Tribolium castaneum: one gene and its partner. The protein of the gene in region 1 interacts with the protein of each later gene in a biochemical or structural test. Links are inferred from orthologs where the notes say so. Each region holds a gene or a part of one and is shown in the gene's direction. Other genes may lie near its edges. The genes, in order: PolI and PolH.

The links.
Region 2: the proteins of PolI (region 1) and PolH interact in far-western blotting, tested with the Homo sapiens proteins (2 studies listed by BioGRID). The link is inferred for Tribolium castaneum from reciprocal best matches to the Homo sapiens genes POLI and POLH.

What each region holds. Positions count from the first base shown.
Region 1 is NC_087396.1:11,980,784-11,992,644, reverse strand, and holds PolI (DNA polymerase iota), read left to right. Parts: upstream 1-4,432; 5' UTR 4,433-5,097; coding exon 5,098-6,711; 3' UTR 6,712-6,753; downstream 6,754-11,861. Other genes in the region: uncharacterized protein LOC103313669, read right to left, coding at 496-653, 699-1,706, 1,753-1,789; protein mono-ADP-ribosyltransferase PARP11, read left to right, coding at 2,738-3,661; uncharacterized protein LOC103313667, read right to left, coding at 8,007-8,156, 8,202-8,312, 8,359-8,544, 8,593-8,742. UniProt on the Homo sapiens protein: Error-prone DNA polymerase specifically involved in DNA repair. Plays an important role in translesion synthesis, where the normal high-fidelity DNA polymerases cannot proceed and DNA synthesis stalls. Favors Hoogsteen base-pairing in the active site.
Region 2 is NC_087394.1:32,790,800-32,802,611, forward strand, and holds PolH (DNA polymerase eta), read left to right. Parts: upstream 1-4,601; 5' UTR 4,602-4,602; coding exon 4,603-4,736; intron 4,737-4,778; coding exon 4,779-4,913; intron 4,914-5,091; coding exon 5,092-5,390; intron 5,391-5,439; coding exon 5,440-5,698; intron 5,699-5,758; coding exon 5,759-6,971; 3' UTR 6,972-7,242; downstream 7,243-11,812. Other genes in the region: lin (protein lines), read left to right, coding at 450-1,295; uncharacterized protein NC2alpha, read right to left, coding at 3,309-3,919, 4,170-4,242, 4,294-4,335; protein FAM98A, read right to left, coding at 9,215-9,805, 9,855-10,055, 10,157-10,650, 10,703-10,908, 10,956-10,993; alanyl-tRNA editing protein Aarsd1, read left to right, coding at 11,528-11,566, 11,613-11,741. UniProt on the Homo sapiens protein: DNA polymerase specifically involved in the DNA repair by translesion synthesis (TLS). Due to low processivity on both damaged and normal DNA, cooperates with the heterotetrameric (REV3L, REV7, POLD2 and POLD3) POLZ complex for complete bypass of DNA lesions.

The sequences.
Region 1 (11,861 bases):
TTTTTTGTGGTGATATTATCAGCTCTGATCTTCTGGATCAAGTGAACATTGTAGTACCTAGAGCTAACAACCGAAATCCTCCTACATTTTATTTTTCCACCTATAATACCTTTCATCTGAATTCTCCACTTTTTAAATGTTTTAAATTATATAATAATATTACAATAGATTTAGATATTTTCTTCAATAATTTCAAAACTAAAACTGTAAAGGTCAAGCTTCTAGAATATTTTTCTTCGTAATTTATAATGTTTTGTATAATTTAATTGTCTCAAATATGCTCTTTTTTTGTATATTGTATTGTTACTTGTCCACGTTAGACTAATAAGTCTGTTGGAAATAAATTATATTATTATTATCTTACACCCTGTATATCGTTCTTAAAAAATACAAATACCTATAAAAAAATTAGCTTTCAATGATATCTAGCTTTGCACAAGATGATAGTTTTGGAAATTAGATAAATAATTATAAATAATAAATTCCAACAGTTACCTCAATTTGACTCTGTGGGAATTCCGCGTTACAAATGGGACAACTAATTTTTTCTTCTGGTGGTTTTTCAACTTTTGCGGGAGTTCTGGTTCTCGGTGCACTTTTCGGAAGGTTTGCGCTCGCTCTTTCTGCAACAACTTCTGTAATTGCGTCAGGATCTGAAAAACAGCTTTAAACGTTGTCCACTTGTAACACAACCGCACCTTCTTGTTTGTTGGCTTTTTTCGGCCTCTTGTTTTTTTTACCCGGAACTGGGGGAGGCACCCTCCTCCTCAAAAAGTTCTGTTCGTTATCTTTGACTGGACTCGTCTCAATTACGTAGTCTTCAGAGTTGTCCTCCAAAGATGGGAGCGTTCTTTCAAAATTCTCCATTTCTGCTTCTTGCTGCTTCCTTTTCTCCTCACCTTGTATAAACTTGTCAAACATCGCCTCAGACCTGCTGGTGGGCTTTTTGGCGCTTATGGATAAATTTTTTCGTGGTATTTTCGGCTTTGTGGATTTGCAGGTAGCAGGGGTCTTTTCTTCAGTGAGATCTTCTTCAGGAACGTAAGGAAGGTCTAATGTAATTTTTGTACTTGAGTCTCCAAATTCCGCTTTGTTTTTCTTTACAATGCTGGCAAAGTCAGGGTCGCTGTCTACATCCTCCTGCTCTGTGTAAATTTTTCGTTTAACCTGGCGGCCTGAGCGGCTAACGTATAGATTTTCAACTGGAATTTGATCCACTAGGTCATCAAAGCTGCCACCGCTTGGGATTCCATTGCTGGTTTCAGGCAGCTTGTAATTGCTTGATGGATGAATGGGGGAAGGCAGAGGGGCCCTTATGAGAGACTCTTTTGCTAATTTCGCGATGCACTTATTAATCTGTGTAAACGACTCTGATAGTAATTTTCTGCGCAGCGAGATGGAGTACTTCTTAAATTTGGGGTTTGTGGGAATTGGGAGGGAAAAGACAGGGTCGTGGTGAATGATTTGCAGAAACCCTTTATGCAGATTGGGTTTTTTTGGAGAAGACCGCAGAGTTCGCGTGACTCTGTTTCCCTTCGAAACTTCAACTGCGTCATCAGACTTTTCGATTTTCTTATAAAAGTTCCTTATGTCCACGGTTTGTCGGTCAAACTCTCGGTTGAATTTCTCTTCTTTTGCTGTTTCTTTCGACCTGTTAATCGCTTCTTGCAGCTCCCTAAATTCCTTCCCGTGATCTGACTCTGCGACTAGTGAACATTTTAAAATGGAAACATTAAACTGAACAATTTGAACCTTTAAGGAACTCCTTAAAATTATTTTGAAACGCCATTGTTTGACTACAATAATAACACAACAATTGCCAAAGTTAAATGTAAATTTCAATTATTTTCGAACACAAAAACACAGACGCACTCATTTTTTCAGGTTAAGTTCAATTTTGACATTTGACATTAATTTTGGCGGGAAGCTTTCAGAAATTAATCAATGTCGAAAATTTTCATTTTTCATCAGTAAAAACAGTGTGCTAGAATGTGGCCGCTTATTTTTAAAAATTAATTTAGATTTTTATCAAACTTCGTTTGTTTAAAATTGACTTTACTTGTAATTATTTCTTTTATTTTAGCACCAACAGTCTGAAATTCTCTGTAAAGTGTACGAAACAACTCGTGAAGCATAATTTAACTCAAAATAGGCTAAAGTAGTACTCTTCCAATTGGTGTCTCTTAAAGAAATCGTAGTTAAAGTGAACCAAGTAGTCGCTCCTATGCAAGTACGTAATGTTGGTTGCATATTACTTCAATTTAAAATTTTTAAAATAAAAAACGGCACAAACAACTAGCCTGAAGCTTATTCACGGAGTCGTTTGTTCCTTACTCGTCGCCTCACGGCTCGTAAACAAATTTCAGAAATAAAACAATGATAAATTGATAAATCATTCAAATTCTTGGCCAAATTTGGTCCCACCTTTCTACTTGCACTTGCACATTGTAGTGCAAAAATCTGGAACGCCGATTCGCCTGTTTAAATTTAGCGCTACGAAATCGCTGACTGTGATTGGTGCAAAAAAATTTCTTTTGAACTTAGCAATGGAGACATTTTATTACTGAGTAAAGTTTTGTAGTTTAACCGTTAGTTTTGTAGTTTTGTGTTTTATAGATTCGTTCAAATTGTTACTAGTTTAGTGTTTAAGTGCTTCATCTTTGCAGCTTCGAGGTGTGTATTTTTATTAAAACACAGTAGGTAACTGACAGAAATTTAAAATTCACTAGAATCGAAAATGAAAAGGGCCCGAGAAGATGATGAATATGACGATTTTTGCAACGGTTTGCAGTTCAGCGACGGCAATAGCGCTTCGCCTTCGCCTAGACATCGAATTAAGCGCCCCAAAGTGAACCCCAACTACGAGACAATCAAGTTTCACTTTGGTGCCTCGTCCGTTACTTACAAGACCATACAACACACCGACCCGGCGTTCAAAAAGATTAAAGATTTAATAGATATTAAGTCACTGATGATCGAAGACCTCATTGAAGTCAACAATCCGGTCCTCGATATCGCGTATGAGATGAAAAAGTGTGAGAAAAAGCACACGTTTGGGAACGTCAATGAAGCTCTGCTGTTCCATGGGACTAGAAGGGAGAACGTGGAAAGCATCTGCACCTATAATTTCGACTGGAGGCTCTTTGGGAGTAACAGGGGCCACAAATTTGGAAAAGGGGTGAATTTCTCCCCAAGCGCCAAATACGCAAGCAACTACTCGGACCCCCACAGTTACCACAAAATTATGATCGTTGCCAAAGTGCTGATAGGCAACGTCTGCCAAGGGGACCAAGACATGTCGCTGCCGCCTCCAGGCTATGACACAAGCCAGAAGGACCAAAGAGCGAGCGTTATCGTAAAGTATGAGGATAATGAATTCTACCCATATTACATTCTCCATTACCATTTGCGTGAAAAACACAGAAACAACAATCATTATCGTTATGATTGTAACTACATAAATCGTTATGATCGTTACCATGTGGAGAGAAGACGTTATAACACTCATTACAACTATTACCGGGATCGTTATGGCCCTGGTTATGGTAACTATCGCTACGACAACCATCGCTATGACAACTATCGTTATGACGACTATCGTTATCACAGAAATGATCACTATGGTGATCGTTATGATGGTGCTAAAACCAGGCATTTTTAAGTTTTTTCTGATGTTTGTTAACTTCGTTCTAGTAATATAACCAAAGCAATAGTTTTAATGTTGAAACTTATTTATGTTCCAAAATACGCAGCAGTATTATTGCAAGCATTCCAGTTTCAATTGCAATTTGTTTATTGTGATAAACGAAATAATGCTGTGAAGTAGTTTGATAAGAATAAAATTATTTACTTTGAAAATGTGACACTTACGTTGCTTTTATAAATTTAGTTATAGGCTCAGTAACATTTATCGAAAATTGTAAGTAGTTTTTGCTTGTCTTTGTTGCTTTTTGTATACACTTTTGATTTTATGTCCACGTTTAATTCCTATTAAAATTTTTGGATGAAGGCCTGTTTTATTTTTAATCGTTATAGTCCAGTTTATGGTACATTTAATTATAATTTGTTGTTTTCTATGATATTTAATTTAACCGCTATTAAGTATTAGTCATCAAGAAGTTCATGACCAGGGCGACCAACATTGAAGTGTGATAAAGTAATAAAATACCCGTTGCCCCTGGTCCTAGTACCCGTTTTCAAACATCATTTGCTAAATACCGGAAGGGAGCTTACTTTCTGAGTGAAAATTAAGCCAATTTCTTTAAAAAAATTGAAATTAACTGTGATCTTTTACTGATTGGGTTGGCAGCATTGCAATTTTATATGCGTCTGCAACAATAACCCCTGTGTCTGTGTCCCTGTTTTTTGATTGTGAAACAACGAACAACAGGTCCAATGCCCATTTTCAAAGGTAAATTTGCGTAAATTTGGGCCCCCAAGCCCAAAAGGCCCGCTACAAACCCCAATCTCAAAGTAGATAAGCTGGGGTCAAAGATTGTGTGATGCCAAAATTTGCACCCGAAAGATTATGAGTACCAGCAAATTGAGAATTTAATTACTAACGAGTCAATGTTGACTCTATTTGCCGTTATAACTTCGATTTTCGCTTATTTGGTACCAATAAGGGCCACAGGTATGGCCAAGGTGTGAGCTTCCCAAACGCAAAATATGCCTCGTGTTCTACCGACGATATTTACCATAATGTGATGATTATGGCCAATGTGTTAGTTGCTAATGTTTGTGATGGTGGTGAAAATATGCACTTGCCTCCGCTTGGGTTCGACCCGTGCCAAAAGCCTGGCGGAGTTGTGATCGTCAAGTACGAGGATAACGAGTTTTATCCTGCCTATAATTTATACTATCACATTGGTAAAAACTACGATGGAGATGACTGTTGTGAAATAAAACTTTTCTTAATTGTTGAAATTGTTCAGAAGTTTTTATTTGCTAAGTTTGGGATTGGTAGCCTTGTAATTTTTGAATAAGCCGCCTAATTGGTGCATTGTGATTGGCCAAGTCATCTCAAATGCCAAATCAGTAGAAATAAACATAACCTCACTAAAGTTGCAAGAGTTCTTTTATCAGTATTTAAAAACAATGTCTTTTGAGATGGACCATTCCCGTACTATAATTCACATCGATTTGGACTGTTTTTACGCGCAAGTGGAAATGAACAAAAACCCCAGCCTCCGAACGGTCCCGCTAGGAATACAGCAGAAAAACATTGTCGTCACTAGCAATTACACAGCCCGTGAATTTGGCATAAAAAAGTGCATGTTAATCCCCGAGGCGAAAAAACTGTGCCCTAGCCTCGTGCTAGTCAACGGCGAGGATTTACACGACTATCGCCAGACCTCCTACAAAGTAACCAATCTGTTGCAAAAGTACACCCCTCTGGTGGAACGCCTAGGTCTTGATGAGAATTATCTGGACGTGACGACGCTAATAAACGAGAAATTGAACCAAAAAAGTGATCTCAAGCTTGTGGGAAATGTGTTTGGAGACACAAGTGATAAGTGTGAGTGTGGCTGCACGGAGCGCCTGATCATTGCCACAACAGTGGCTCAGGAAATCCGCGACGTTATTAAATCGGAACTCAACCTCACGTCCTGTGCAGGAATCGCCCATAACAAACTTTTAGCAAAAATTGCAGGAGCGCGCCACAAACCAAACCAACAAACTGTTGTTTTCCCAAATAGTGCGTTAGAATTGATTCTTAGCCTAAACGCACCGAACGATATCCCGGGAATTGGCAGAGCGTTGTTTGAACAATTAAAATGCATAGGGGTTGAAACAATTGAGGAGCTACAAAATGTTGATCTCAAGAGACTTGAAACCGTTTTAGGGCAAGATAAAGCTAAGTTAGTTCATGAGTTAAGTTTGGGTATCGATAAAAGTGGGGTCAAGCCGACGGGGAAGCCCCAAAGCATTGGTTTAGAAGACAGTTGTAGGTCAATTTCTGTAGAAACCGAAGTGAAAATAAAATTAGAACAGTTGTTAAACCGTCTCTTGCTTCTGGTGGAAGAGGATGGGCGTGTCCCCAAAACCATAAAACTAACAGTCCGGAAGTTCAACAAAGACAACAAGATGAGCCACCGAGAGACGCGCCAATGCAACGTCAATCCCTCGATTTTCTCCTCAAACCAACCAAACAAAGAAGCCAAAATCATGACCACGATCATGCACCTTTTCAACCGAATAATCGACGTCAAAAAACCCTACCACATCACATTACTTGGCCTCTCTTTCACGAAGTTCCAGGAGCCCCCGAAAAACACGCTCGCTTCGTTCCTGCGCAAGGACCTTGAAGTCCAGTCAGTGCTGAGTATAGAGAACCAGAACGGTGTCGAAGACGCCGAAAGTCCCGTCCCTTCAACCTCGAAGTTGGCACCAACGGAGGGGGAATCACCCACACCCTCACCGAAAAAACTAAAGTTGACAAATCTCGTGTCGAAGAAGCGCTGTTTTGAGGACTATTACGAAGACTGCGAGAGTCCCTCAAAGTTGAAGGTTGCGGATTTGTGCTTGGATTCGGTGTCGTGCCCCCCTGATGCCGACAAGGAGGTGTTCAAGGAGCTGCCGAAGGAGGTGCAAAAGGAGCTGTGGGAGGATTACAAGAGGAGGAGGGCCAGTGAGATGAATTTTTGCAGCAGTCAAGTGAAGAAAACCAAGCCCAACACGTTGCTTAATTATTTTATCCGGAATAACTGATGGTTTTGTAGATTTTTTTCATTAAATATGTTTTAATAAAAATTGGTTTTTTCTTCCACCCAGTCATTCCTAAATTCCAGATTGTATATTTTCGCGTGGTGGTAGGATGTTAAAAATACACAATTTTTAAAATTATCTGTATTTTATTATTATAAAAAATTCAGTTTTATAATAAGTCATCAATAAAAAATAATCTTCAACAGATTTATATTGGTTTAAAATAATCCGTAATCCGCTTGTTGTTTTTCAATTGCCTGATTGTTTTCGAGTCGTAAATTGAAGCCTTTTGGTTGAAACGTGAGTAAATGCCAGCGCCTGTTTGCTTATCAGTTTTGTATCTGATGACTTCACCTTGAGGCTTTATGCCTGACGTTTCAAAAAAGTCAAGAACACTAATTACATCGTCAAGGTCGGTGTAGTCCTTAGTGTAAAATTATTACAGCGTGAAGAGGTTCAGTATCTGCAGATGTTGAAACTTTTGCGTCCCAAAGATCTCCAATTTTTACAGCTTCTTTTATTTTAGTCCATATCCCATTTACATCTGCTTTTGGTAAAAACAACATCCATTTGCCCACTTTGCAGTAATCATTCACATTTTCTAAACTGTATTTGTTGTTTTTTGCCCACAGCCAGGGGGCTTCACCTTTTGTGACGTCTGTCGGATTCAGAGTGCAATCATTCTTTATTTCCTTTGATGCTACATCACATTTAAAGACAAATTTTGCGTCCATATTTTTTCTAAATCTAAAAAACTTGTTCAAAAATTTTTATTTACTTGGAGGTCTTACGTTTGCGTGCTATTTTATGGGTATTTTACTGGTACTACTGTCAGTAATACCACCACTTCTAAAGTAGTGTCACAACTTTGCCCATGCACTTGTGTATTATTGGTTGCATCATTAAATTTTCGAAAAACACCATTCTTTTAGTGTTTATAATATTGATATTGTAATTATTTCATATATTAGTTACGACCTAGGCTTTGTTTAAATAGTAAATGGCATCAATAATTTCACATTTTAATCCAAAGAACCAGAAATAAAATTATTGTTATCTCGACAAAAGAACGTCAATTGTGAAATGATAACACTTAAAATATTAGAGATAAATATTAGTGAAATGATAACATAGTCCAAACATAACAAACAGAACGTTACAGACTAAGTAGGGGAAATGAAAGCTGGGATATTTTTCTATAAATTTTATTGTGATTCTGCTTTTCACAAACGTTTGTAATAAATTAATCTCAAATACTTTGTATGTAGACATAGTGTTAAAAATTTGCGACATTGCGTTTAGGCATGTATTGATTTTCTGAGATCTATATTTCGTTCTAACGGCGTTTGGGGAACTGGCCCCTCGTCTTCTTCTTCCACATATCGATACATAAGAAATATTGCAGCGCAGCCCACAACCGAGAGAACCCCGCCAACAATTCCTAAAAACTAAAGCCGGCATAAAAATTTAATTTAATTTAAAAATGTGGTTACTCCTGGCACTTTATGCATGGTGGGATTTTCTCTACATTCGATGGTCGTCGACACTGTCATCACCGAACCAATAATTCCAACAAGAGAAAATATTAGATTCAAAATTATGTCCTGCGACAAACTGTTAAAATGTGAATATTAGTACAGAAGCACCTACAGCTGTGACCCACTTTCCTGGATATTTCACTGTGCCCCCGCATGAGAACATCAAATAAAACAGAAACTGTACTCCAACATTACACCCGACACAGACGGGAAAAACGGTAGTGAACCAGTCGGGTCTGTCGTAGCACTGGTCCCAGCTTTGCGCCAAAAACAGGGCCAAAGCTGCTAAACACACGATCTGGGATTTTCTACATAGAGTTAGCCTTTTGAGTAAAGTATTACTTACTATTGCCAGTATTTTTGTCCATCCTGTTTTTGTTAAGAGAAATTTGCCCGGTTCTAGCTTATCTCTAACTAATTCATCGAATGAGGCACTTTTTGGGGCGAATGTGTTCAAAAACTGGGCCTTTTTTTGATTTATTGCCCGTTCCGCCATGGTTTTATTATCATTATTTAATATAGGAGGTAACAACGACTGAGCAGATTTCGTACTATTATGAAGCTGATACCATTATCGGTTTTTTTGTAAGTAATCATAGTGTAGTGTGATCTCTTATTATGATATGTAACAGAGCAGATTGATATCTGACAGTATCTTTATAATCAGCTTTACATAATTTGATTTAAAACTAAAATTGATGACATTCTTAAGAATAAAAAAATAAGAAGAGTACTCTATTTATTAAAATGTTTAAGTTTTTTACCTACTTTACGTGTGTAATTCCGCCTTTTTGGAATACTTATTTTTTTTTAAGTCACATATGTAATGTTATAATAATTTTAAAATAAATATTAAATACCAATCGAGAAATGTTAGTTGTACAAAGTTTTATAGAGTACTACACAGGTGAAACCTAAGTTGTAAATTGTAAATCTATTTCATAATCCATTTTATTGAATACAATAAAACCACACAAAGGTGCAGTTTATTTATGGATTATACATAGAAGCAAAGCGTTTAATTGTTAAAGAAACTCCATCAAATTGAGTGTGGGATTAACTACAAGTAAAATTATAGCCTTGAGTGTATACGATCAGTCAAACTCAATCATTCAAGCTTTCTTTAAACCGGGCCTAAATATTTAAGGATTGCTCTGATCAGTCAAATAATAACTAATTTGTCCAGCAAGAACCACGTGGAGGTTTAGAGCATTCTTGCCAGGAAAAAAGGAAATAAGGATGTGGTAAACAATGATTATTTGAAAATGAAGGGAATGTTTTTTTGAAAAAAAAATGTTTATTTGCATTAAATTTTGAGCAAGCCACTTTCATTCATTGAAATTAAAGACAAAATTATTACGTGGCAATAAATTATTTGAGTGTTTGATTTTATTTTTAGTTACTGTATTAAAAAAGTGTCACTCAAAATATTACTTTTCAACACCGCATTTAAAGATTTTAATTGCAATTACGTTTTATGAAATTATTGATTTGTGAAATAAATAAATACGACACAGCAATAAAATACACCTACCTTCATATCGCTTCCACGTTGGCTACCGTTTGTAGCATTAAAAATAATAATAATAATAATGAAACCAAAAAAAAAAGTTTATTTGCATTAAATTTTGAGCAAGCCACTTTCATTCATTGAAATTAAAGACAAAATTATTACATGGCAATAAATTATTTGAGTGTTTGATTTTATTTTTAGTTACTGTATTTAAAATGTGTCACTCAAAATATCACTTTTCAACACCGCATTTAAAGATTTTAATTGCAATTAAGTTTTATGAAATTATTGGTTTGTGAAATAAATAAATACGACACAGCAATAAAATACACCTACCTTCATATCGCTTCCACGTTGGCTACCGTTTGTAGCATGAAAAAAAATTAAAAACACCAATAAAAAAATCTTTATTTGCATGAAAATTACAACAAGCGACATAATTTTACGGCTGTAAAATACAATCAACAATGTTATATTTAAGGATTGCTCTAATTGGTCAAATTAGTCAATAACTAATTTGTCCGGCAAGAACCACGTGGAGGTTTAGAGCATTCTTGCCAGGAAAAAAGGATATAAGGATGAGGTAAACAATGATTATTTGAAAATGAAGGGAATAAAGGAATTATTGGTTTGTGAAATGAAAAAATAGTACACAAAAATCAAAGTTTTTTCACTTGGCGTTAAATAAATGCTCTTACCTTTATACTGCATCTGCTACCATTTGTAGCAAAACCTAAAAAATAAATTAAAAACACAACCAACAAAAAAAATTAATTTGTAGGAAAGTTACAACAAGCGACAATAATAAATATTATACAGAATAAAGGATACACAATACGATATAATATATGGCACACAAGCTATTAAATTCAACACATCACAAGATAAAACGCAAAAAAATGCACCTACCTTCATATGGCTTCTGCGTTGGCTACTGTTTGTAGCAAGACATTAAAAAATAAAAACAACACCAATAAAAAATCTTTATTTGCATGAAAGTTACAACAAGCAACGTTTGTCAATATTAAACAAAATAAAATATACACAATACGTTTTAATATGTGGCAATTCAAATTCAAAACTTCAGTAAATAAATACACCTACCTTCATATCGCTTCCACGTTGGCTACCGTTTGTAGCATTAAAAAAAATAATAAAAATGAAACCAAAAAAAATGTTTATTTGCATTAAATTTTGAGCAAGCCACTTTCATTCATTGAAATTAAAGACAAAATTTTTACGTGGCAATAAATTATTTGAGTGTTTGATTTTATTTTTAGTTATTGTATTTAAAAAGTGTCACTCAAAATATCACTTTTCAACACCGCATTTAAAGATTTTAATTGCAATTAAGTTTTATGAAATTATTGGTTTGTGAAATAAATAAATACGACACAGCAATAAAATCCACCTACCTTCATATCGCTTCCACGTTGGCTACCGTTTGTAGCATTAAAAAATAATAATAATAATAATGAAACCAAAAAAAAAATGTTTATTTGCATTAAATTTTGAGCAAGCCACTTTCATTCATTGAAATTAAAGACAAAATTATTACGTGGCAATAAATTATTTGAGTGTTTGATTTTATTTTTAGTTACTGTATTAAAAAAGTGTCACTCAAAATATTACTTTTCAACACCGCATTTAAAGATTTTAATTGCAATTACGTTTTATGAAATTATTGATTTGTGAAATAAATAAATACGACACAGCAATAAAATACACCTACCTTCATATCGCTTCCACGTTGGCTACCGTTTGTAGCATTAAAAATAATAATAATAATAATAATGAAACCAAAAAAAAAATGTTTATTTGCATTAAATTTTGAGCAAGCCACTTTCATTCATTGAAATTAAAGACAAAATTATTACGTGGCAATAAATTATTTGAGTGTTTGATTTTATTTTTAGTTACTGTATTAAAAAAGTGTCACTCAAAATATTACTTTTCAACACCGCATTTAAAGATTTTAATTGCAATTAAGTTTTATGAAATTATTGGTTTGTAAAATAAATAAATACGACACAGCAATAAAATACACCTACCTTCATATCGCTTCCACGTTGGCTACCGTTTGTAGCATTAAATAATAATAA
Region 2 (11,812 bases), on another chromosome or scaffold:
AATTTATTGTAACGACATTGAAAAGCCTACCTTTAGGAATAATTTATGCTTAAATTTATCAGCAGTTAATCTTAATTACAGTTTTGTAGATTTACCAAAGTACTACATGATTTTTTCAGTAGAAAAATTTACACTCTTTTTTAATTTATTGGTTTTGTGCCCAACATATGTTCGCTACGATTCATTACTTGAACACGCAGTGGTTTAATAGCATTTTGTAATGAAAAATTAAATCTTTTCACTTTTTATCCACTTTCAAATTCCAACAAAAACATTTTATAACCACGAAAAATCGCATAACCAAAGGCAACGCTAGTATTTACCACCACATACTTTTAAAGTGACTCTCTGTAATGTAAGAAATTAATTGCAAAATAATTCATGAAACGAGGAATTAAGAAAATTTCGTCACCAAAGGGCGTCTGGTTAATTTTGTTCCCCAATTGCAGGACATGCTCCCGGAGGACACGTGCCAGCTGGCCCACTTGATCGTGCGCTACGTCAAAGACTTCCGCCTGCTCGACAGCCTGCCGTACAGGCGCTCAGAGGGCTACACTGTGAACAGCTTCGTGGGGACGATCCCCAGCACGCAGCCGACGCAGTCCAACATCGACAAGACTCTCTTGCAGAAGATGACGCTCCTGGTGCTGAAGAGCGTGGCCATCACCATCAAGGAGACGCGCTCGGACAGCTCGGACTCCAGCGTGGGGTCGGAGGACTACGACTTCTCGCACGACATGCAGCTGATCGCGCGCTCGATCCGCGACGTGCTCAAGAAGGTGGACGTCTTCATCAAGCTCAGCTTGGAGTTTCACCCCGAAACGCCCTTCTCGAAAATACTCATCCATTTGTTTAGCGATCAAGACGATTACATGATCGAGGCCATGGTTTGTACGCTGGATATTAAGACGGGGATCTCGTACCAGAACGCGTTGGCGCCCGATTTTATCGCGATGCTGAATCCGGTCCACTCGTTTATCGAGTTTTTGAAAATTGTTAGTCATGATTCGGACGTACTATTAGATTATTTAGTCAGTAATGAGACGTGTTTCTTGTTGTATCTGTTGCGGTTCTTGAAGTATACGAGGAGGAATTGGGATGTTTTTGTAAATAGTTGTTACGAGGGCGGAGCGTCGAGGACCAATGAGCTTGATAATACAATGACGGTTTTGATAAGACTTAAAATGCAGATTGATCGACTCGTGTCGAAGGATCTTTTTCCTTATAATATTAACCCCATTTTAAGACTGCTTGAGATTTGCGAGAATCTTTACGAAGGCAACGAGTACAGCTGATAGCTTTAATTTTTATTCGGTTTTTTTATGTGTATATAGTTGAAAGTTTCCGTGATATAGTACAAAACCCTCCCATTTCTTCTAATTTATTTTTTTATACATTTTTCAAACAGGACAGACAACATGTCCAGTTACCACGTATTTTGCATAATTGGCGATTGTGTTTTTGATGAAAAATTTCATTCAACGCATGATAAATATTATTAATTAAAATGAAACGATCGCACAGATAACGAAAGCAAATAGTTTCAAAATAATTAAACTAATGAAATGTTTTAATTGGGGAAATTTCGCAACTGGGCCAATTATAATTATGAAATTGTTAGTGTTACCCAAAAAACATGTGTCCCTAATCTTACAGATGACAAAAAATCACAAAAGCCACTGTTTTTTTAATAACTACCATATTTTTTCTAATTAACTAGCGTAAAACAATTTAATGCTAGTTGCAAAACAGTCACTTTATAATTGGTTTTCTCTTTTAATTTCTGGGTTTTCTTGAGATTCAATTTGTCACTAGGGTCCAATCTAACAGAGAATCACACGAAAATACAGCAAGTTTAAGGTTGATAAAAATAGTTATTAATGACACAGTTAAAGATTAGATCTCTCATTGAAATTGTAAATAAAATTAGCTATTGATTTTTTTCAAGTGATTAAATAATTTATAACAACTAATTTTGAGAGAAAAAGCGACGTTGACATTTCCATAATTTTGAAACAGCTAGTTTGAGTTCAAAGTTACCAATAGTCCCATAATAAGGAAATTCGGCCAAAAATTTTAGTCGAATAGACAAGAGAGTATTAAATAATTCCAATTTATTGCTTCACTTTTATTCAGTTTACAGCTGCTAATACAATAAAATTAATTTAAAAAAAAATCTAGTTTTGTTTGTTTTCTTGGAAAGACGATTTACAAAATAACGCAAATTCATCTTTTAGACCAAAATTAGGTATTTGTGTACGAAATTGCCATGTTGCCAGAGTGTCAATTGAAAAAGTCCCGAGATATATCCGTAGTTTTACCAGCGACATATTGTATTTCCAAATTTTCCATTTGCATTTATTGAGCAAAAAACTCGTTTGTTTTTATGTACATATTTAGGAAAAAAGTATGAATCACTAGGAAATTCCTGAAACGTTATCTTGAACAAACACTCAACGTTACATATTTGCATTTCTTATTTTGCACCCATGAATTATTTGTTTTGGATGATAAAACCTTATTTTTGTTAGGGCATATGTTAATAAATCAATGTTTATCAGCATTAAAAATTCAATGACCCTTTGGACAAGTTGTGGAATTTAATTTTCTTCCCCCGAGTGTCAATATATCGGACAAAATACGTCTACACTGGACATGTCGAACGATGGAAGTAAAAAAAAACACAAATTAAAAAATTCAACTTCGGTTCGGTTTTCCCAGACTGATAAGTCGTTCATAGTCTAAGAGTGCGTTTGTATTATCTAACACTTGTTAAAATAGAATTGAAAAGTCTGTAATTAACTTATTTCCTTTATTTATTCTTTCGAATAGGTTTATGTAACAAATGTAAATTGTAGTTACCTTATTTAAGTTTTAACAGTGTAACTAATCGCCCACTTACAATTTGCAATATTAAGAGTAAGTCGCCTTGTATTATTTTCCATAGTTCAAATTATATGCGCCGTGATGAGAACTTGTGCCCATAATAATGTAAAAAACAAGATGTAATAATTTAATGACTTTATTATTTAATTTCTAACTTATATAAATAAAAGTAACGATTGGCAGGCTCATGAGGTCCTTCAGAGGAGTTAAAAAAGTAGTTGTATGTATATAAGGTATTGATTATAATACTTTAATATTTTTAAAATTGTACATAATGTACTAATGTATTTTTTTACCCAATACAAAACGTTTTAATAACAACTGTATATTTCACTGTTAGGTCATCGGAAAAGTCGTCAGGTAGGTAGTTACGTTTACTTGATACAAATGAACTGATAAATCGGTGATAAATATAGAACAATCTAATTATCATAATCTTCATCAATACACAGAGTGTCTTCAGTGTTCTGATTGTAATAATGGTGTGAAATAGGTATAAGAGGCGGGATATTGTCGCAGTTGACTGGCGGCGTATTTTCTTGGACACTATTAGCGGGCCCCCTTGTTGGTACTAAAGGGGGCACAGGTACGGGTTCCGCCACCGAAATGCGCACTTTGGGTCCTTCCTTCGCCGGCTCGATCAAATTATTAACTGAGAAATTGAACTTTTTCGTCTCTACTTGCGCTACTTTAGGTCCATACTGGATAACTGGTGTTCTAGCCGTGGACGTACTCTGCTCTGTGTAAAAATTCGCCGTTACTTCCGGCTTCGAAGCCTCCACTGCTGCCGCAGGCTCCTGTTTTGACTCGGCCTCCTGCAGCTGTTGCGCTTCGAACATCAGGTTGTTTTTGTTATCTTCTTGTGCACTTGCATCAGGGATATTTTTCACTAAGTCTTTTAAAAAGTCGAAACGACTCTCGGATAATATACATTGCTTCATGTGGGACGGAGTTAAAGTCTTGGCGTTGCGGGACTGCGTTATTTGCATTGACTTCGTCAGCAGCGACTCCACAAACAACTCCAGCGTTCGGGGTAAGCAGCGTTAAGGAAATATTACTAAAGTGAAACCTCAGACTTGTTTTCATTTTACGATCACCACTGAGCTGATAAAATTATATCTGTATTTTTTATTGCAATAGTGGCTACGATAAGAGAGTCAAAAAAAAAATACTTTTGTGAAGCCCTAACAGTGCGTGCGAGACAAACGCAATTAACTGCTTTGCACAAACGTGAAACACTCGCTTAAATTAAATAATAAACAGTCAAATAATTAAAAGGATATAGATTATAACTGGTACAGCTTGTGCCACTTTTCCAACCTCTTCATCAGTCTGCATTATTTTTTTAATACGGCCCTGAAAATCCCCCAATTAAATAAGGAATTTCCAAAATTTGGAACGACTTACTGCTGGAAATCTGGCATTGTATTTTTTCTTTTTTGAAGGCATATCTAAAAATCTTTGATTTCGTTTCAATTTGTCAACAATCACTTTCTGAAAAATGACAGTTTGAGGTTATATGTTGTTAGGGATTTTTTGCACACTTGTCAAAATAATTGTCACTTGTCATTTTTTCCTGAAATGGTGGGAAACAAAAAATGAAAATAATTTCACAATTTCTTGAATAAATAAGTAATTCAACCGTTCATTCCACTTGCAATTACTTATTCAATTGTTAAGATCAAGATTGGGACAGTTTTTAATTTGTTGTGTGGAATGGGGCCCACGGACCGTGTTGTGGTTCTGGTGGACATGGATTGTTTCTATTGCCAGGTTGAGGAGAAGTTGAACCCGGCCTTGGAGGGCAAACCGATCGCCGTGGTCCAATATAATGCATGGCAAGGGGGCGGGTAAGTGGGCATTAAACTTTGGTCTCAACTTGTTTCTCTCAGCATTATAGCTGTTAATTATCCGGCTCGTGACGAGGGGGTTACGAGACACATGAGGGGCTTTGAGGCTAAGAAGAAGTGCCCGAGTATTAATTTGGTGCAGGTTCCAGAACTAAGAGGAAAAGCTGACTTAACCAAGTAAGTGGTGTCACATGCTTTTGTAACCAGGTTTGTGAAAAAATTGTTATTTTTAAGTGACACACAACCACAAAAAATAAAACCTTATGCTACTAAATGCTTATTTTTATTAATACTTTTTAGTATTATGAAAATTACATTATTAATTATAAGTGGTTTATATTAAAAAAAATTGTAGATATCGAGATGCGGGAAAAAGGGTTGCGGATGTTTTGCTGACTTTTACACCTCTGCTTCAACGTGCTTCAGTTGACGAGGCCTACCTTGATATCACGGAAATTGTAGAAAAACGGATTGAAAAAGGCCTGGATGATTTAACTTTAATTAATCTAAGTAACACTTTTGTTGTGGGTTGCGAACTGGAAGATTTTCTTCATAATGCTATTACTAACAAGGAATATTCCATTCCCAATTTAAAACTGGCAGTTGGAGGTCTTGTGACTGAAGAAATTCGACGCGAAGTTTTCAAAGTTACTGGTATTAAGTTACTGTACCAAATTTTTGATTTTATTTATTGATGATTTAGGATACAAGTGTTCTGCAGGCATTGCTCACAATAAAATCTTGGCAAAACTAGTCTGCAGCTTGCACAAGCCCAACAAACAAACCATTCTGCCCCAGGAAGAGGTTGAGAAATTTTTTGAAACCACCCCAATTAATAAAGTGAAGAATTTGGGGGGGAAATTCGGGCAGACTCTCTCGGAGGATTTTCACGTTACAACAATGGGCCAATTAGCCAAAATTCCAGAGAAGCTTTTGGTGCAAAAATATGACGAAAAAACTGGGTATCTATGACGCAAAAATGTCTAATTTAAACTTAAAACTTAAACTAAACAATATTTTAGCAACTGGTTACATAATATTGCCCGAGGTATTGATATGGAACCTGTCACTACAAAATTAATCGCAAAATCCATCGCTTGTTGCAAAAATTTCCCGGGAAAAACTGCGCTTGTAACGGAGGAAAACGTGCAACACTGGCTGGGGAAACTAGCGGCGGAAATGTCGGAACGGCTGGATAAAGACTTGAAGGAAAATAACCGAAGAGCCAAGCAAATTATTGTGAGCTTTGCACAGGAAGTGAACAAGAAGGACGTTCACAGCACGAGGACACATCCCTTGGTGTCGTACAACGAACAGAAAATAGCTCAGGCGGCTTTTGAAGTGGTTAAGAGGTTTTGTCGCAAGTCTGACGGCACTTACCATTTGAAGTTTTTGGGGCTGAATGCTTCCAGTTTTGACGATATTAAGAACGTTCGGCAAATCACTTCCTTTTTCCAAGTTGGACCAAACCAACCAAAAAAATCGCTGGAGAAAAAACCGGAAGTTGGAGAGCAGAGCGTTTACGACCAACCAACGCAAGAGTTAGAGGAGGACAGCAGTAACCTGATCTTTTACGACGATTCATACCGAGTTAGAGATAATAATGAAAATGAACTGGAAAGTACAGAGTGTTCAAATATCGAAAATGTTGAAGAGCTGGACAGACCCACGTCTTCGTTTTTTGTCAAGTTTTTCGATAATGATAGCAATGAAAACGAGCAGGAAGAACAAGACAACATTGAAGAAAATAATGACTCTGAAATGAGCGTTGAAGAAGAAACTGAACTGTGTAGCGAATGCAAAAAGAGAATACCAATCTCTGAATTAATGTCTCATCAAGATTATCACTTTGCATTAAACCTCTCACGAAGTGAAAACGTTCCTCCCAATTCAAACGTTAAGACTCCTCCAGTCGTTAAAAAATCTCTCGATTCTATGAAAAAAACTCGAAAACGGAAAGAAATTGATTGTGGTAATAATAGCATAAGGACATTTTTTGCAAAGCAGGAAGAACCAACAGGTCCTACGGAGACGTGCACAGAGTGCAATAGAAAAATCAAAGTTGAGGAAATGACCAGTCACATGGATTACCACACGGCTAAAAAAATCCATTTAGAATTAAATGCCATTAAAACGGTTAAACCTGTGACCAAACAGTCAAAGGCAAAATCAGGGAAAACCAAAAATCAAAGTGCTAATAAAAGTGTTGTTTCGTTTTTTAAGCCGTTAGGGTAATTTTTTACTTGATTTCAAGTGGAAAGACGAAATTTTTGGCGAGATGCGAGATTATTTCAGTTGATTTGAAAGTCAGCATCACCAACATCATTTTGAAGTCATAGAAGTGTGCAACAATTTTATCATTGTGTTTAGTTATGAATTATTGAATTTTAACAATGAATAAGCTTTGTATAAAATTATTGTAAAACGTAGTATTTATTTTTATTAATTGTATACCTTCTATGTGACGTGTTAATTTCAAATTTTAATAAAAAAATCTAATGTTGAATTCTTTGTTTTCTTTAAACTTCCCTCAATCTTTAAATTTTAACTTATTGAATACTGGTGAGTAGTTTTCTGTATTAACTTGCATTTTTGTTTGTGGCGTCATCTCGGTACCAAGTGCTTAAGTAAAACCTTACAGGAATCTACGAAACTTGCAGTGCCATCTATGCATGGTACTCCTAAAGAGTCGATTAGGCTTACTGCAATTTTTACCAACATTAAAAAAAATGATAAAAATTCAGTTATCAATTTCAAAAAACGAATAAAAATTTTATCAAGTGCGATTTACAAAATGCGAAATATCTCCGTTCCTGTAGGAGATAGAGGGGTGGTTCTGCCCTTTTGAAAACCCTACCGCCCCGTAGTCCTTTTTCTGGGCTATCGAATAGGCAAGGTCCCGTTCCCGTATCTCCCTCAGGAACCGAGATAGCATTGCACATTTTTAAATCGGGAATCGAAGTACATGACGTAATAGTGCTTCAAACGTTATGTATGCATGCAAAATTTCAAGTTGTTACGACAAGAGGAAGTGCCTCAAATTTCAGTTCAAAATTTTATAATTTCGAAAGACAACAAACAAAGCAAGTTGAATAAAAACTTTAATAAAAAACTTCAGTTTTTTTGTTAAAAGTCTTTATTAATGCGATTTATTTGGAAACATATTTTGCGAGTTAATTTTGGGGCACTTCCTGTTGTCGTAGCAACTTCAAATTTTGCATGCACACGTAACTTTTGGAGCACTATTACGTCATGTACTGCGATTCTCGATTTAAAAATGTACAGTGTTATCTCGGTTCCTGAGGGAGAAACGGGAACGGGACCTAGCCTATTCGATAGCCCAGGAAAAATACTACGGGGCGCTGGGGTTTTCAAAAGGGCAGAACTACCCCTCTATCTCCTACAGGAACGGAGATATTTCTCATTTTGTGAATTGCAGATTTTCTTCAATTTTTACAAAAATTTTTAAGAGTGCGAGAAAATTTTTGTTGGAGTGAAACAATTTCGCAAAATTTAGAAATGGATTTCGTATCAGGATCATAGGAACGCAAAGAGGTCAAGAAATTTTTAGCGGCGTTTGCATGCAACCAGTTATACACATACGTGTATTTTGAGTTATATATTTTTTTTCATTACCCTTTTGCATTCCTGTGATCCTGATACGAAATCCATTTTTAAAATTTTGCAGATTTTCACCCAAAATTTCTTTCACTTATCAAAATTTTTATAAAAATTGAACAAAATCTGCGATTCACAAAATGCGAAATATCTCCGTTCCTGTTGGAAATAGAGGGGTGGTTCTGCCCTTTTAAAACCCCTACCGCCCCGTAGTATTTTTCCCGGGCTATCGAATAGGCTAGGTCCCGTTCCCGTATCTCCCTCAGGAACCGAGATAGCACTGCACATTTTTAAATCGGGAATCGAAGTACATGACGTAATAGTGCTTCAAAAGTTATGTAAGCATGCAAAATTTCAAGTCGCTACGACAACAGAAAGTGTCCCATATTTAAGTTCAAAATATTAATAAATCCGAAAGGCAAGAGAAGACACTTTTCTTTAATTTTTACAGGTTATTATTAACTAAAGCTTAGATTAAAAATAAATAGATGGCGCTAAATTTACAGGTTACTTTATATTTTAGCTTTAATTTAAAGCGTATAGATGGCAATTAAAACATTACAGATTACTGTAGCATTGTACTTTTACATCCAACATATAGATGGCAACACTAACAATTTTAATTTACTTTTGGCTTTATTGCATAGATGGCGCATTTAATTTTTACCTTTTTTTGAATTTACTAGCTTTAGGAAGTGAGTTCTTCAGTTCTAGAAACTGTTTTGGATGAAAATGGAAATACTATAAAATCAAACTTCAATATCGATTCAGTACTTTTATTAAATATTTAAATACATTAGCAATCTTTCAAGTGTTAGTGCTAGTTTCAAATAACTGCAAATAATGATACAGCACAATTTTTAATAGTGATTCCTGCCTCCCCTGTTGTAATTCGAGTGTCCTCTGCCTCTCCCTCTGTAATTCCCCCTCCCGTGATACTGCTGATTATGCTGTTCCTCTTGCACATACTGATCAGCATAAGTCGTTCTATTTTGTTGAAAGGAATCGTAAGTTTTCGGCCTTTTCGAATTTTGTTCATAGCTCGTGGAGTAACTACCTGCACTATCAAAATTCCTATTATCGTAACTACTTTTATTATCGTTATAACTGCCTTGGCCGCCGCCGTAACTCCCCTGTCTCTCGTTATTATAACCAGGGTTGTTATAACCACCACCGTAACTTCCAGCACTGTCATAACTGCGCCCCTGGTTATAATTGTCGTAACCGCGACCGCCGCTTTTATAATTATCATAACCACCTTGATTACCAGAGTAACTTCCACCGTAACTCCCCGAATCTCTTGAATAGTTCTGTCTGTTGTCGTTACGGGAAAAGTTACCGCCGCCTCTTCCTCGACCGCCCCCCGAGGGCCCCGGCGTGCGCTGCTGCCAAGAGGGCATCTCCGGAGGGGGCGGCGCTTGCTCAGAGGTTCGGCCTCCACGATCAGGAACCTAAAAGTTTTCTTTGGTGTTTTTTTCTTAAACAAAATCATGGTTTTACCTGTCCAATAATGACTTTATTTAGTGACGATTTTGTGTTTTTGCGCACAGACGAGTTACTTGTCTTTTCGATAATTGCAATGTCGTCTCGTGCGGCTAATAAATCAGCAAGTTCAACTTCCGGTTCCGTTTTCAGGCGTTTCCGCTTTTCGGTGTAAACTTTTTCAAATAACTCATCTTTGCCTTTCGTTTTATCAGACCACTGCAACAACAATTGAATATGAAACTTATGTATAGATTGCAAATGAAATTTGTTTTGAAGTAATAAATAAGAATGGAACAAATGTTAAAATTAGTGCCCACCTGAAAAGACTGAATCGTAACATCCAGCCTTGTTAGCAACATCTCTCTTCTAATTTTATATTCATTGTTCAAATCCTTCTGAACCCCATTTAGTGTTTCCCACTGCTTATCAGAAAGTGTTCCTTGAAACGCAGGCTTTCCAACTAATTCACTTCCAACTTTTTGAACAATACTTTGCACAGTTGGGCAAACTTTTTGGAATAACTGTGGAATAGTAATGTTTGGGGGCGGTTTATGAAACCTCAGAGTCATTAATATCTTCCTCATATTGGCAGCTTCTTCAGTCTCTTGCTGCAAAACTTTATCAACAATTTGAAAATTGCGTTTCGTTTTACTTACCAGTTTTAGCTCAAATTTTTTATCGGGCTTTTTCTCTTGTAGTACTCTTGCGGCCATCAGTTCAGTAGCCAAATAGTCTAAAAGTAATAATTTGTCTTGGTGACTTTCCAGACGGTCTGAAATATGGCCCTGTGTTAAGGCAACGTAGGGGCAGTCTGTAACCATTAAATGTGAAAAAATTGGCAAAATACAACAAAACCACCGCACTCAATTCTTTCAGAAAAGAACTAACTTCCATAACAAACGATACTGAATCTTCAGGGCCTGATATTGGATTGACTTCCTCATCGATATTAAGCAATGCGCGTAGCTCGTTTGTTAAAAAACTGACTAGCTTGGTGAATTCCACGTTTTTTGCTCCCTCCTGCAGGGCAGAATCAAAACTAGCCTTCTCGAGAAGGGGGCCACAATAACTGCAATGCAAGTTAGACCTGGAAATTTTTGGTTGGGAAATAATTACCCCAGGTCCTTCAGTCCGTCTAAGAGTTTCTGTTCCATTGTATTAATTAATACTATGTCTTACTTTTGCACTAATATAGAGATTGAAGCCGGTTATTGAATTTCTAACCAATTTGCGAAAATGTCAAGTGGTCAAGCTGTCAAATATCGCAACGTAAAATAACGCAACATTTTTTACTTTTTTTTTTTTGAAAATTTTTATTATGGGGAAAACGTTTAAAAAACTCAATTTGCGTTGTAGCGAAGTAGTTGTTAAAAATTAAATATGCTAGGAAATTCACAAAATTGAGAATTACAGTGAGGTATTAACGTAACGTAATACGAAATGTCAAAACGTAACGTAAGTCGCAACGTGTTTTGTGGGGGCCCCGATGACTTGTTTTATTTTATTTGAACAACACGATAAGATTATAGATTATTAGATTTAATATTATATATTAAAGTCGCACATTTATATGTTTTTAAGAAACACCACTTAAAACACCCAAAAAATTTAATTCCATACTGTCAAACCAGAGCACGGAAGAGTTGCTCAAAAATTTACTAATTTGTAAAGTGATCGGTAATTCTAACATGGTGTTTAAGTGCCAGGAAGACAGCTTTTTGAAAGAGGTACCAAACAACAAATTTTAACTTGTTACATTAAAAATACTTGTAGTTTACTTCAAAAGTAGTCTCATGCGAAAAAAGCGAGTTTGACGCAACCGTTGACGGCAAAAACGTTAAAATCAATGGATATGAAGTCATTCTGGAGAACACTGTTCTATTTCCTGAAGGGGGCGGCCAGGTTTTTAATTTTTCGTGCACATATTCAATTAATTTTCTGGTCCTAGTGACTGAAATTAAGTTAGCAACATT